Struthio camelus: one gene and its partners. The protein of the gene in region 1 purifies or fractionates together with the protein of each later gene. This does not show direct contact. Links are inferred from orthologs where the notes say so. Each region holds a gene or a part of one and is shown on either strand. Other genes may lie near its edges.

Region 1 (3,746 bases):
GGAGGGCCCTAGAGGGAGTCACACTGGGCCAGACTGGGCCCAGACTGGACGGCCACTGGGATGCCCACTTGGGGGGGGGGGTCACACTGGGCCAGACTGGAGCCACACTGAGGCCAAACTGGGCCCAGACTGGGATGGGGGGGGGACACTGGGATCAAACTGGGACCCAGCGGCCCTCAGACTGGGGGCACACTGGGGCGATACTGGCATTATACTGGGACCATACTGGGCTCACACAGAGGGCCAGGCTGGGGGGACTCCACCAGGACGATACTGGTGTCGTACTGGGGCCCACTGGGACCAGCCTGGGCTCACGCTGAAGCCACACTGGGCTGATACGGAGGCCATACTGGGGCATACTGGGAACACACTGTGGCCAAACTGGGACAATACTGGGACCGTGCTGGGGGCCATGCTGGGACGATACCGGTGTCATACTGGGGCCTACTGGGACTATGCTGGGCTCGCAGACCACACTGGGACGATACTGGTGTCATACTGGGGCCCACTGGGACCATCCTGGAGCTCACAGTGAGGCCAGAGTGGGGGGCCAAACTGGGCTGACACTGATGTCATACTGGGGCCAAACTGGGACCATCCTGGAGCTCACAGTGAGGCCAGAGTGGGGGGCCAAACTGGGCTGACGCTGGTGTCATACTGGGGCCCACTGGGACCATCCTGGAGCTCACAGTGAGGCCAGAGTGGGGGGCCAAACTGGGCTGATGCTGGTGTCATACTGGGGCCCACTGGGACCATCCTGGAGCTCACAGTGAAGCCAGCCTGGGGCCAAACTGGGACGATACCAGTGTCATACTGGGGCCTACTGGGACTTTGCTGGGCTCGCAGAAGCCACACTGGGGCCAAACTGGCGTCATACTGGGGCAGGGGGCGGGCCGAGCCCGGACGCCTGGGTCCCTTCCCCACCCTGGCGAGGCCTCGTGGTTAAAGCAGGCTTGAGGGAGGTTGAGGAGGGTTGACGTGAACCCGGACGCCTGGGCCCTTCCTCCCCCAAGAAGAGAGAGGTGGGGCCAGGCGAGGCTCCCCGGACGCCCGGGTCCCCGATGGGCCGTGCCTCAGTTTCCCCTTCCGCCGCGGTGCCTTGTGGGGCGGCGACGGCGGCGGTGGCCGTGGTGGCGGTGGCCGTGGTGGTGGTGGTGGTGGTGGAGGGCCACCACCTCCCGCGCCGTCCCGCGCCGCGTCCCCCCCACCCCGGGGCAGCGGCGGTTGGGTGGTGGTTGGGTGGGGGGGGGTGGTGACAGGGGAGGACGGGGGACACCCCCCCCCCCCGCCACCGCCCCCGCCGCCATGGACCCCCGGCGCCTCCGCATCTCCGCCCGCGACCCCCAGGAGGACTTCGAGGTCCTGCAGCGCCTCGGAGGTGGCACCTACGGCGAGGTCTACAAGGTGACACGGGCGCCCCGGGGGCGGGGGGGGGGCCGGGCATGTCCCCCCCCTCCCCACCCCACCCCAAACCCACCCCCGTCCCCCCACCCACCACCCCATCCCAGGCCCACCCCCCAACCCCAAACCCACCACCCCAAACCCACGTCCCAACCCCAAACCCACGTCCCAACCCCGTCCCCCTCCCCTCCCCAAACCCACCCCCAACCCCAAACCCACCACCCCAAACCCCCCACCCCACCCCAAACCCACCACCCCAAACCCACCACCCAACCCCAAACCCACGTCCCAACCCCGTCCCCCCACCCCACCCCAACCCCGTCCCCCAACCCCGTCCCCCCACCCCCCACCCCACCCCAAACCCACCCCCCAACCCCGTCCCCCCACCCCACCCCAGACCCACCCCCCAACCCCAAACCCACCACCCCAAACCCACCGCCCAACCCCAAACCCACGTCCCAACCCCGTCCCCCTCCCCTCCCCAAACCCACCCCCAACCCCGTCCCCCCACCCACCACCCCACCCCAAACCCACCCCCCACCCCGTCCCCCCACCCCACCCCAGACCCACCCCCCAACCCCAAACCCACCACCCCAAACCCACCCCAACCCCGTCCCCCCACCCCACCCCAAACCCACCACCCCAAACCCACGTCCCAACCCCGTCCCCCCACCCCACCCCAAACCCACTCCCCAACCCCAAACCTACCACCCCAGACCCACCCCCCAACCCCAAACCCACCACCCCAAACCCACCCCAACCCCGTCCCCCCACCCCACCCCAAACCCACTCCCCAACCCCAAACCTACCACCCCAGACCCACCCCCCAACCCCAAACCCACCACCCCAAACCCACCCCAACCCCGTCCCCCCACCCCACCCCAAACCCACCACCCCAAACCCACGTCCCAACCCCGTCCCCCCTCCCCATCCCAAACCCACCCCCCACCCCGTCCCCCCACCCCACCCCAAACCCACCCCCCAACCCCCGGCCCTGAGCCCCGGCTCCCCCCCCCAGGCCCGCAGCAAAGACACCGGCGAGCTGGCCGCCATGAAGGTCGTCAAGATGGAGCCAGGTGAGGGGGGGGGCGGTACCCACCCGAGGGGCCCAGGCGTCCGGGAGCCCCCCACCCGACCCCTCTGCCCCCCCCGAGCGCCTCGATGCCCCTTGGCACCCCTCGGTACCCCCCATATCCTTTAATACCCCCCGATACTCCCTAATACCCCCCGATACTCCCTAATACCCCCTCAATACTCCCTAATACCCCCTGGTACTCCTTAATACCACCAACAAGCCTTAATACCCCCCGATACTCCTTAATACCCCCCTGGTACTCCCTAATACCCCGTGGTACTCCCTAATACCCCCTCGATACTCCCTGATACCCCCTGGTACTCCTTAATACCACCAACACTCCTTAATACCCTCCCCTGATGCTCCTTAATACTCCTTGATGCTCCTTAATACCCCGGATACTCCCTAATACTCCCCCCACACGCCTTAATACCCCCAGAGACCCTCCAAACCCCTCTGTGATGCTCCTGGACCCCTCTGATGCCTCATGAGACCCCCCCAAACCTCCTGGACCACCCTGGGGCCCCCCAATAACCCCTGAGATGCCCCAGAGACCCTCCAAACCCCTCTGTGATGCTCCAGGACCCCCCTGATGCCTCATGAGACCCCCCCCAAACCTCCTGGACCCCCCTGAGGCCCCCAATAACCCATGATGCCCCAGAGACCCTCCAACCCCTCTGTGATGCTCCAGGACCCCCCTGATGCCTCATGAGACCCCCCGCAAACCTCCTGGACTCCCCCAGGATCCCTCAATAACCCATGAGATGCCCCAGAGACCCTCCAAACCCCTCTGTGATGCTCCAGGACCCCCCTGATGCCTCGTGAGACCCCCCCCAAACCTCCTGGACCCCCCTGAGGCCCCCAATAACCCATGAGATGCCCCAGAGACCCTCCAAACCCCTCTGTGATGCTCCAGGACCCCCCTGATGCCTCATGAGACCCCCCCAAACCTCCTGGACTCCCCCAGGATCCCCCAATAACCCATGAGAGGCCCCAGAGACCCTCCAAACCCCTCTGTGATGCTCCTGGACCCCCCTGATGCCTCATGAGACCCCCCCCAAACCTCCTGGACTCCCCCAAGATCCCTCAATAACCCATGAGATGCCCCAGAGACCCTCTGGTGCCCTGCAAAACATCCCAGCAACCCCCCCCCCGAGATGCACCTAGGACCCCCTTGGGACTCCCCAATACCCTCTGCTCCCCCCAGGATGCCCTGATACCCCCTGAGAAGCCCCTGAGCCCCATGACACCCCCAACCCTCCCCCAGGAT
Region 2 (3,746 bases), on another chromosome or scaffold:
AAACGGGTCTGCTCCGCCCTCTGAACCCAGCTCCACCAGCGCCCCTCAGCCCTGACGTGACCCCTGCAGCAGGTCCTCCCGCAAAGCCCTTCCGCTGCTGCCTGTCTCCTCCATCCTGCGTGTTCCCCCTCCGCGCTGCCCCGGTCCGCTCCTGGCTTGCACCCACAGTCTCAGAAAGGTCAGGACAGCAGAGCCACGAGTTCATCAGCCAAAGATGCGCCTGGAGCCAGCTGCTCGGCGCTTGGCTCTCGGCCTCAGGGGAGCTGTTGTCTCCCTGCACCGAGTGAAGAGCCCTGCGCATGACAGCTGCCAGCAACGTAGCATATGGATAAAAAGGTGCCTTGTAAACTACCCAAAGGGCTGACGCTTCCCTGGCTTTCCCTGCTGCTCCCCCACCCACCCCACAGCTACCGACAGGTGCTCAAGCCTGCAGCTGGTGTTTCACACATGGCCAAAGATCCTGACACACGAGGAAGTTAAAACAGGAAGCCCCCATGCTGTTCTGCTCGGCCGTAAACCCCCAGGAAGATGGCGGGGGCAGGGCACACAAGCTCTGCCCTGGGCCTCTGGCACCGTGTCTGCTGCCGCCCCAGCTCATTCCTATACAACCCCCAGCCTAGATCCCCGCTCTGCACCTTGGCACTGCCGAGGAAACACCAACGGGGGGATTAAAAAAGCTCATCTCCCTTCTAGCACTTGAGGGCATCCTGATGACTGTGACAATAACGCGCCATCAGCCGAGCTGAGGAGCTGCTCACAGCTCCAAGCACGGCCAGGGAAGGACCCAGGGCGTCCCCGCACGGGCAGGCCGCGGCCGTGCCCCCCTCGGCCCTTCTCCCCCGGCGCTGGGGCTCAGGGGGAAGCCGAGAGAGCGGCAGGCCGGGCCGGGCCGAGGTCCCCGGGTGGGCACCGACCCGACCCTGCCCAGCCGGAGCGTCCCGTGGAAGCCTCTGGAAGGAGCCGCCTCGCTGCCACCCGCCGTCAGTGCGCCTCCGCCGCCCGCGGGAAATAGTCCCTCCCGCTACCCCGCCGGGGGCGGAGGCCGCGGAGAATGGCGGCGGCGGGGCGGTGAAGGCCGCCGGTCCCTCCCCCGGGACGGCGGCAGGCAGGCAGTCGCCCCCCCGGGGGCGGAGCTGCGGCAGCGGGGCGGGGCGGAGCTGGGGGCGGCGCTCGGGCCGAAGGTGCCCGAGTCATGTCCGCCGCCGCGGTTAAAAGGGCGTTGCAGTGGGGCCCACCCAGCGGCTGGCAGTGGGGGGGAGGGGGAGCACGGGGGTGTCTGTGGTACCCACCCTGCAGGCCCCCAACGGAGGGGCACGGCGCTTCGGAGAAGCGACCTCGCTCTCCCTTCATCGCGGACGGGATGCGGCGTGAGGCAGGAGCCTCCCGGCCGCAGGGACCCGCCGCGCCTCTCCAGGCCCTTTTAAGGCGGAAGGAGCCGGCGGGCGGTGCGGCGCCGTCGCTATAAAAAGGGGTCGGAGGGGGCGGCTGCTCTTTTCTAGGTCCGTCAGCTGCCGCCGCGTGTGGAACGGCCGCCGCCCGCGGTAAGGGCGCCGGGCCCGCCCGCGCTGCCGCCCCGCCGCGGCCCGGGGCGCCCCGTGCCCCCGGTGCCAGCGGCCTGTGCTTGCCTTGCAGATGCCTGAGGAGGTGCAGCATGGGGAGGAGGAGGTGGAGACGTTCGCCTTCCAGGCGGAGATCGCCCAGCTCATGTCGCTCATCATCAACACCTTCTACTCCAACAAGGAGATCTTCCTGCGGGAGCTCATCTCCAACGCCTCCGACGTGAGCCTCGCCTCGGCCCACCCGCCCGTGGGGCCTTCCCCTGCCCTCCCTCCTCTCCTTCCCCGGGCCCTGGGGCGGGCTGGTGTCCCTCCCGGGGTGCCCGGGCCGGGGGCGGCCCGCGGGAGGTGGCCGCGAAGTCCCGAGGCCAAGGCACGCGCTCTGCTCTCCCCCTCCTAGGCGCTGGATAAGATCCGTTACGAGAGCCTGACTGATCCCTCCAAGTTGGACAGCGGCAAGGACCTCAAGATCGACATTGTGCCCAACCCGCGAGACCGCACGCTCACCCTGGTGGACACTGGTATTGGGATGACAAAAGCTGATCTCATCAACAACTTGGGCACTATCGCTAAATCTGGTACCAAGGCCTTCATGGAAGCCCTGCAGGTGGGTTGCCTTTGGCTGTGTTGGCTTCTTGCAGCCTGGGCCCTAGACTTTCACTGGGGTGTACCCCCTCCTTACAATAGAAGCATGCCCGACAGTCAGCACCCAGCCCTGCCTCTGTCTTGCTGTGGGAGCTGTTGGCTTGCCTACGTATGTTTCCCCACCTCTCCTGTAGCAGGGAGGAGCTCAGGGTAGGGCTGCCTGCCTGTGGGCACTTCCCACTTTATCTCTGCCTGCTGACCTAGTTCTCTGCTGCTGCGAATCACTTGCAGGCATGTTTTGCGTCCTTCTCTCTTTATTTGTCGTTTTCTGCTTCCGCAGGCAGGTGCAGATATCTCCATGATTGGGCAGTTTGGTGTGGGTTTCTACTCAGCCTACCTGGTGGCTGAGAAGGTTGTGGTTATTACTAAGCATAATGATGATGAGCAGTATGCTTGGGAGTCATCTGCCGGGGGTTCCTTCACTGTTCGGACTGACCATGGTATGTATTGTACAAAGGTAAGTTTATCTCTGTCATCCAGAAAGCCCCCCTTTGTGGTGTTCTCCTGGGCTGGACTTGAGTTAACAAACTCGAGTTTGTTAACGTGAAGTACCTGGTAGTGGCTGGGCCTAAGGAGCTGCCCTATGCCTCTAGCGCTAACGTTTCTCTTTCTACACTGTAGGTGAGCCTATTGGACGGGGCACTAAAGTGATCCTGTATCTGAAAGAGGACCAGACAGAGTACTTAGAGGAGCGGCGTGTCAAAGAGGTGGTGAAGAAACATTCCCAGTTCATTGGCTACCCTATTACACTCTATGTAAGTAAGGGAAGGACTTTGGGGACCAACTGGAAAGCTAGAGCAGAGACGTATGTTGGGAACAGAAAGATGGAGAAAACTAGAGTAGTGTGTCTTCCGTTCCCTTCCAGTTCCTGGCTGCTGTGTTTTGAGCGACGGTGTCCCCAGCCTTATTCGGCCGGAGGTGTTTTGAGGCTGGGGGCCTATTGCAGGTGGGGGGCATCCAGTCATGCTCCTGGCCCTTGATCTCTGTGCGTGTAGAGATCATGTAAACCAGCCTTGCAGACAGGAGAGTTTTCTGCCCCTCACTTCATCTCCTCAGACCCAGCCCTTAGTCCTGTGAGCAATGAGAGGTCTCTTGGAGCTGATTTCAGCTACGCTCAGGAGTGCGTGTGTTCCTCTTCTCTGGGGCAAAAGGACTCCTGATAGTGTTTGCTTGGGGCTAAGCTTGGGCTCATGGCCCTGACTTTCTCTTGTTCCTCTCCTGGCAGCTGGAGAAAGAGCGTGAGAAAGAGATTAGTGATGATGAAGCAGAAGAGGAGAAAAGCGAGAAGGAGGAGGAGGAGTCAGCCTCCAAGGATGAGGAGAAACCCGAGATCGAGGATGTGGGCTCTGATGAGGAGGAAGAGGGAGATAAAGGGAAGAAGAAGAAGACCAAGAAGATTAAGGAGAAATACATTGACCAGGAGGAGCTGAACAAGACCAAGCCCATCTGGACACGCAACCCTGATGACATCACCCAGGAGGAATATGGCGAGTTCTACAAAAGTCTCACCAATGACTGGGAAGACCACCTGGCTGTCAAGGTGGG
Region 3 (3,746 bases), on another chromosome or scaffold:
TGCTCTGGTCCTTATTTCACTACAAAGAAACTAGTTAGTTTTACAATTCTTGTGCTGGGTCAGGAATACCTGCTGGATATCAAAGACATTCAGTTCTCTCAGGCCAACAAGGTAGCCTCGATCCTCGGGCTTGCTCTCTGGCGTGTTCAGTCCGTACAAATACTGCAGCACAGAGACAAAGGGGCAGCAGCATGTGCAGGGATGTGGACTTTGTAATTTTTCTGAGATGAACAAACAAGGTAACCTGGGGTTATCAACACTGCAGTGTCTGTCACCGTTAAGTCAGAGCGTCTGGCAGATTTGCTTTTCAAACAGGCCTTTGGCCAGAGCGTGGCAAAAACTTGCACCATTGGTATCATTTGAACAAGCCATCATGCCTCACCTCAGATAGGGGTAGCTTATTATTACCTTGTTTCAGAGGTGTATTTCACCAACATCACAGACTGCTGGTTCCCAGGTGTATTGGGAGGAATGCTTTGAGTTATTCAGGAAGGGAAGTCTTAGCATGGCACAGAGAGTATGTAAGTTAGAATGACTTTTTTTTTTTTTTTTAAATACCTTTTCTGCTACTCCATCTTCGCCACCAGTGAAGAAATCAGTTTTCCGCCTCAGGAAACTAAAGAATGTGTTCACAAGCTGTTTGAGGAAACAGAGGGTAGGGGTTGGGGTAAAGAGGAAAAAAAAAAGAGCAATGAGACCAGATCACTCCCAGTCATCCCCTGTCTCCTCAGTAGTCTTTGTTCTTCTTTTTACTTCCTGCCTATGTCTGTGTTAGGATCATATTAGAGTCAAACCCATTACCGTTTCCCAGCAAAAAAACTGAGGACTTTTGTGGAGATCCAGCTTACGGATTCCCAATTTTCAGAAGATGCATTTTTGTGTTTTACATGAAGAAAGGGGAAGCAGTTCATTCTCAGGCCATCTTCCCTTGGAGATGCATCAACTTTGAAATCCCAAGCTGTTACTTAGACCCATCTGACGCTGGAACTTCTTTTTTAATTAAATATACACATACATGTATATAGATACACGTGTATACTATAAATTCACTTCTTTGGTTGTCTAAGCCCTCAGAGCTTGCAAACCCACCTTCCCCAGCTCTGTGACTTGTTTACTTTTACAAAAGACTAACACGTTTGCTACCCACTAACAGCCTAGAAGCAACGGATGGTGGTCTGCGCCCTGCAAGACATGCGACAAGACAGAACTGCCTGTCAGGTGTCCCTGATGAAGTAGAAGTTGTGAACTGACATACTAGAATACACCTGCAAGAAATAATCTCAATGAGTATGGTTTCTCTTTCTTCTTTTCCAGGAATAATGTCTTTGTCAGTATTTCAATCAGAAGCTTCAGTCCAGTAGGAAGAGCTGTTATTAACATCATTTCCCCAGACCACCTGTGGGTGGGGGATGTTCCCCAGAACTGTAGTAATCTAGCTGCATGTCATCACCTAGACCCTCTGAGCAGCCTCCAGCAAGAGTCACATCAGAAAATGTGAGTGCAAAGAGTATCAGTAATGCAGCTACAGTGAGGGAAGGGAAACTGTATTCATGCTTAGGCATACTTCTGCCTATTTTATGACTGCAGCCAACACATCAGGTCTCACAAGGCAGCTCTCAGACGGTCATGCTGAGAGTGTGACAGCTCGACTTGATCCTCCCCATGCAGTGTCTAGTTTCGCTGCAATACGGAGAGGGATCTGCCTTTCCACACGCCTCTAACGCCTCTAGCAAGCCAACGGTGTTAACTTGAACGAGTGCGAACGACCCACCCATAAAACGCCCCAGCTGCTCAGGGGCGACGAGACGGCCGCGGGAGGCGGCAGGAAGCCGAGGGGCATGGCCGGGGCCCCCCAGGCCCTCATCAGCACGGCGCTAATTAGCCCTTCCTCCGCGCCTCCTGGGCTCCAGGTCCCCCCGGGGGCGCCGAGAGCAGGAACCCCCAACGACGGGGCGCTGGGACACACGTGCCCACCGGGGAGGGCCCGGGGCTCCCGGAGACCCTCGTCCCAGGGAGGCCGGGCCGCGGCTGCCTCCGCCCCCTGCCTCGGGGCCCGCCCCTCCCCCACTCACTCCGCCCCCCGCCCCGGGAACACGTAAAAGCTCCCGCCACGGCCCGGGCTCGGGTCCAGGCCCGGCGGTGCTACCTCGCGCACGCCGCCCTGGTGCTGCTGGGCCATGGCCAGGAGCATGCCGTCGAAGCGGTCCTCCTGCTCCGCCGCCTCCTCCGCGCTCAGCCCCATGGTGATGGTGGTGGTAGGGCCCGCCGCCGCCAACGGCCCCCTCAGCCCCTCACGCCGGCGACCGGAAGCGGAAGCGACGCGAGCGGAAGGCGGTGCGCGAGGGCCCGCGCCGCCCGCCAATCCTGAGCGCCCGGCCGCCCCGCTCTCTTCGCGGATTGGCCTTTGCGGCGTCCAATGTGCCGCGGGGAGGCGGGACCGGCGGGGCGCGGGGTTTGGTTGCTATAGCGACGGCCGGTCTGGGCCTTTCCAGAAAGCTCGGCGAGGCCGCGTGTCCCCGGGGGGGGGGTAGGGGTCAAAGGGCAGAGGGCACGTCACGGGAGGGGGGGCTACCTCCCCGAGGTCAAAGGGCAGAGGTCACGGCCGGGGGGGGGGCCAGCTGCTGGGATCCACCCCCCCCCCCGCGGCCTCGCCCTGAGGGGGCTCCAGCCTTGGGTCTGAACCCGCCTGGTTTTGGCGTGACTGCTGCGGGCAGGCAGCCGCGCTGCCGCTCGGCTCTGTCCCGGCGCTGGTTCCGCCAGGGCTGCGAGGAAACGTCCCAGCGCTTTCTTGACCGGGGCGCGGAGGCTTAAAATTCAGCCGGTGTGAAGGGAGGTGACGGAAAGCAGCCTTGTGGAGCGCTGCCGTTGAGCTGCAAAGAAGCCGGCCCGGTCGCCCTCGGGGATCTGCTTATCTGCAGGGACCGAAGGATCCACCTTCTCTTGTGTTCGCTGCTCTCTTCCGTGCACGGCCCCTGCCTGCCTCTTGGCTCTTTTAGGTCTTCCTGCAACTCTTCCCACGCCCCCCTACGTAGGATTTCCCTTCCATTTACAGCACCGGTCTTGTAGCCAGCCTTTCTTCGGGATGAGGTGCCTTAACCCTAAGGAGGGTGAGGTCTTCTGACTCACTGGCTCCTTCCTGCTATAGAAATTCCTCACTTTGTTGCTGGACCCCTTGAAATAAGTAACCAGGTGCGGCCAGACTTTTCTAGACCAACTTCTGTTCATCAAGTGATAAAACCATCTGGCAATTCAAGGCAAAAATGTAAGAACCTGACCCTGCCCTGCCTCGTATTTCCTTTGTGACACAAGATCCTTTGGGCCCTGCCTCAGATTGAATACTATAATCTTTTTAGTTCACTGGGTTTCTCGTCCTTAACTGTGACAACATGAGTCCCTTGTCAACAAGGTTGGGCAAACATCTGCTGATAAAACGACTTCCAGGTTGCTCTTCCCAAGGCCGGAGCATGCAGGCCGTTTGCACCAGGGTCCTCGCTCCAGACGAGTGCCGTGTGTGTGTGTGTGTGTGTGAACTTCTTGGCAGTGACACCTGCCGTATAGTGCTGCCTGATTACACGGCGGGGCCTTGGTGCCATGGTACAGGCTGGGTTAATGACTTTGTTTAAACTGTTTGGGTAATCGTGATAAGGCCGCCCAACCTGCTGTCCTGTCCCCGCGCTGCTGGCCCCGCTGGCACTTCATTGAGAAAACGGCCATTGACGCCATGTGGAGAACTCGTTTGTTCCAGC

What was found.
Region 2: the proteins of MAP4K1 (region 1) and HSP90AB1 purify together in Homo sapiens (affinity purification with mass spectrometry; 3 studies listed by BioGRID and IntAct, with this or other methods). This does not show direct contact. The link is inferred for Struthio camelus from reciprocal best matches to the Homo sapiens genes MAP4K1 and HSP90AB1.
Region 3: the proteins of MAP4K1 (region 1) and NUDC purify together in Homo sapiens (affinity purification with mass spectrometry; 3 studies listed by BioGRID and IntAct, with this or other methods). This does not show direct contact. The link is inferred for Struthio camelus from reciprocal best matches to the Homo sapiens genes MAP4K1 and NUDC.

The regions. Positions count from the first base shown.
Region 1 is NC_090957.1:1,128,764-1,132,509, reverse strand, and holds the start of MAP4K1 (mitogen-activated protein kinase kinase kinase kinase 1), read left to right. Parts: upstream 1-1,078; 5' UTR 1,079-1,305; coding exon 1,306-1,404; intron 1,405-2,419; coding exon 2,420-2,477; intron 2,478-3,746. UniProt on the Homo sapiens protein: Serine/threonine-protein kinase, which plays a role in the response to environmental stress. Appears to act upstream of the JUN N-terminal pathway.
Region 2 is NC_090944.1:104,480,842-104,484,587, forward strand, and holds the start of HSP90AB1 (heat shock protein HSP 90-beta), read left to right. Parts: upstream 1-1,213; 5' UTR 1,214-1,541; intron 1,542-1,632; coding exon 1,633-1,779; intron 1,780-1,956; coding exon 1,957-2,163; intron 2,164-2,481; coding exon 2,482-2,641; intron 2,642-2,822; coding exon 2,823-2,956; intron 2,957-3,426; coding exon 3,427-3,741; intron 3,742-3,746. UniProt on the Homo sapiens protein: Molecular chaperone that promotes the maturation, structural maintenance and proper regulation of specific target proteins involved for instance in cell cycle control and signal transduction. Undergoes a functional cycle linked to its ATPase activity.
Region 3 is NC_090964.1:6,807,387-6,811,132, forward strand, and holds the start of NUDC (nuclear migration protein nudC), read right to left. Parts: upstream 2,411-3,746; 5' UTR 2,243-2,410; coding exon 2,147-2,242; intron 1,285-2,146; exon of another isoform or gene 1,154-1,284; intron 637-1,153; coding exon 559-636; intron 1-558. UniProt on the Homo sapiens protein: Plays a role in neurogenesis and neuronal migration. Necessary for correct formation of mitotic spindles and chromosome separation during mitosis. Necessary for cytokinesis and cell proliferation.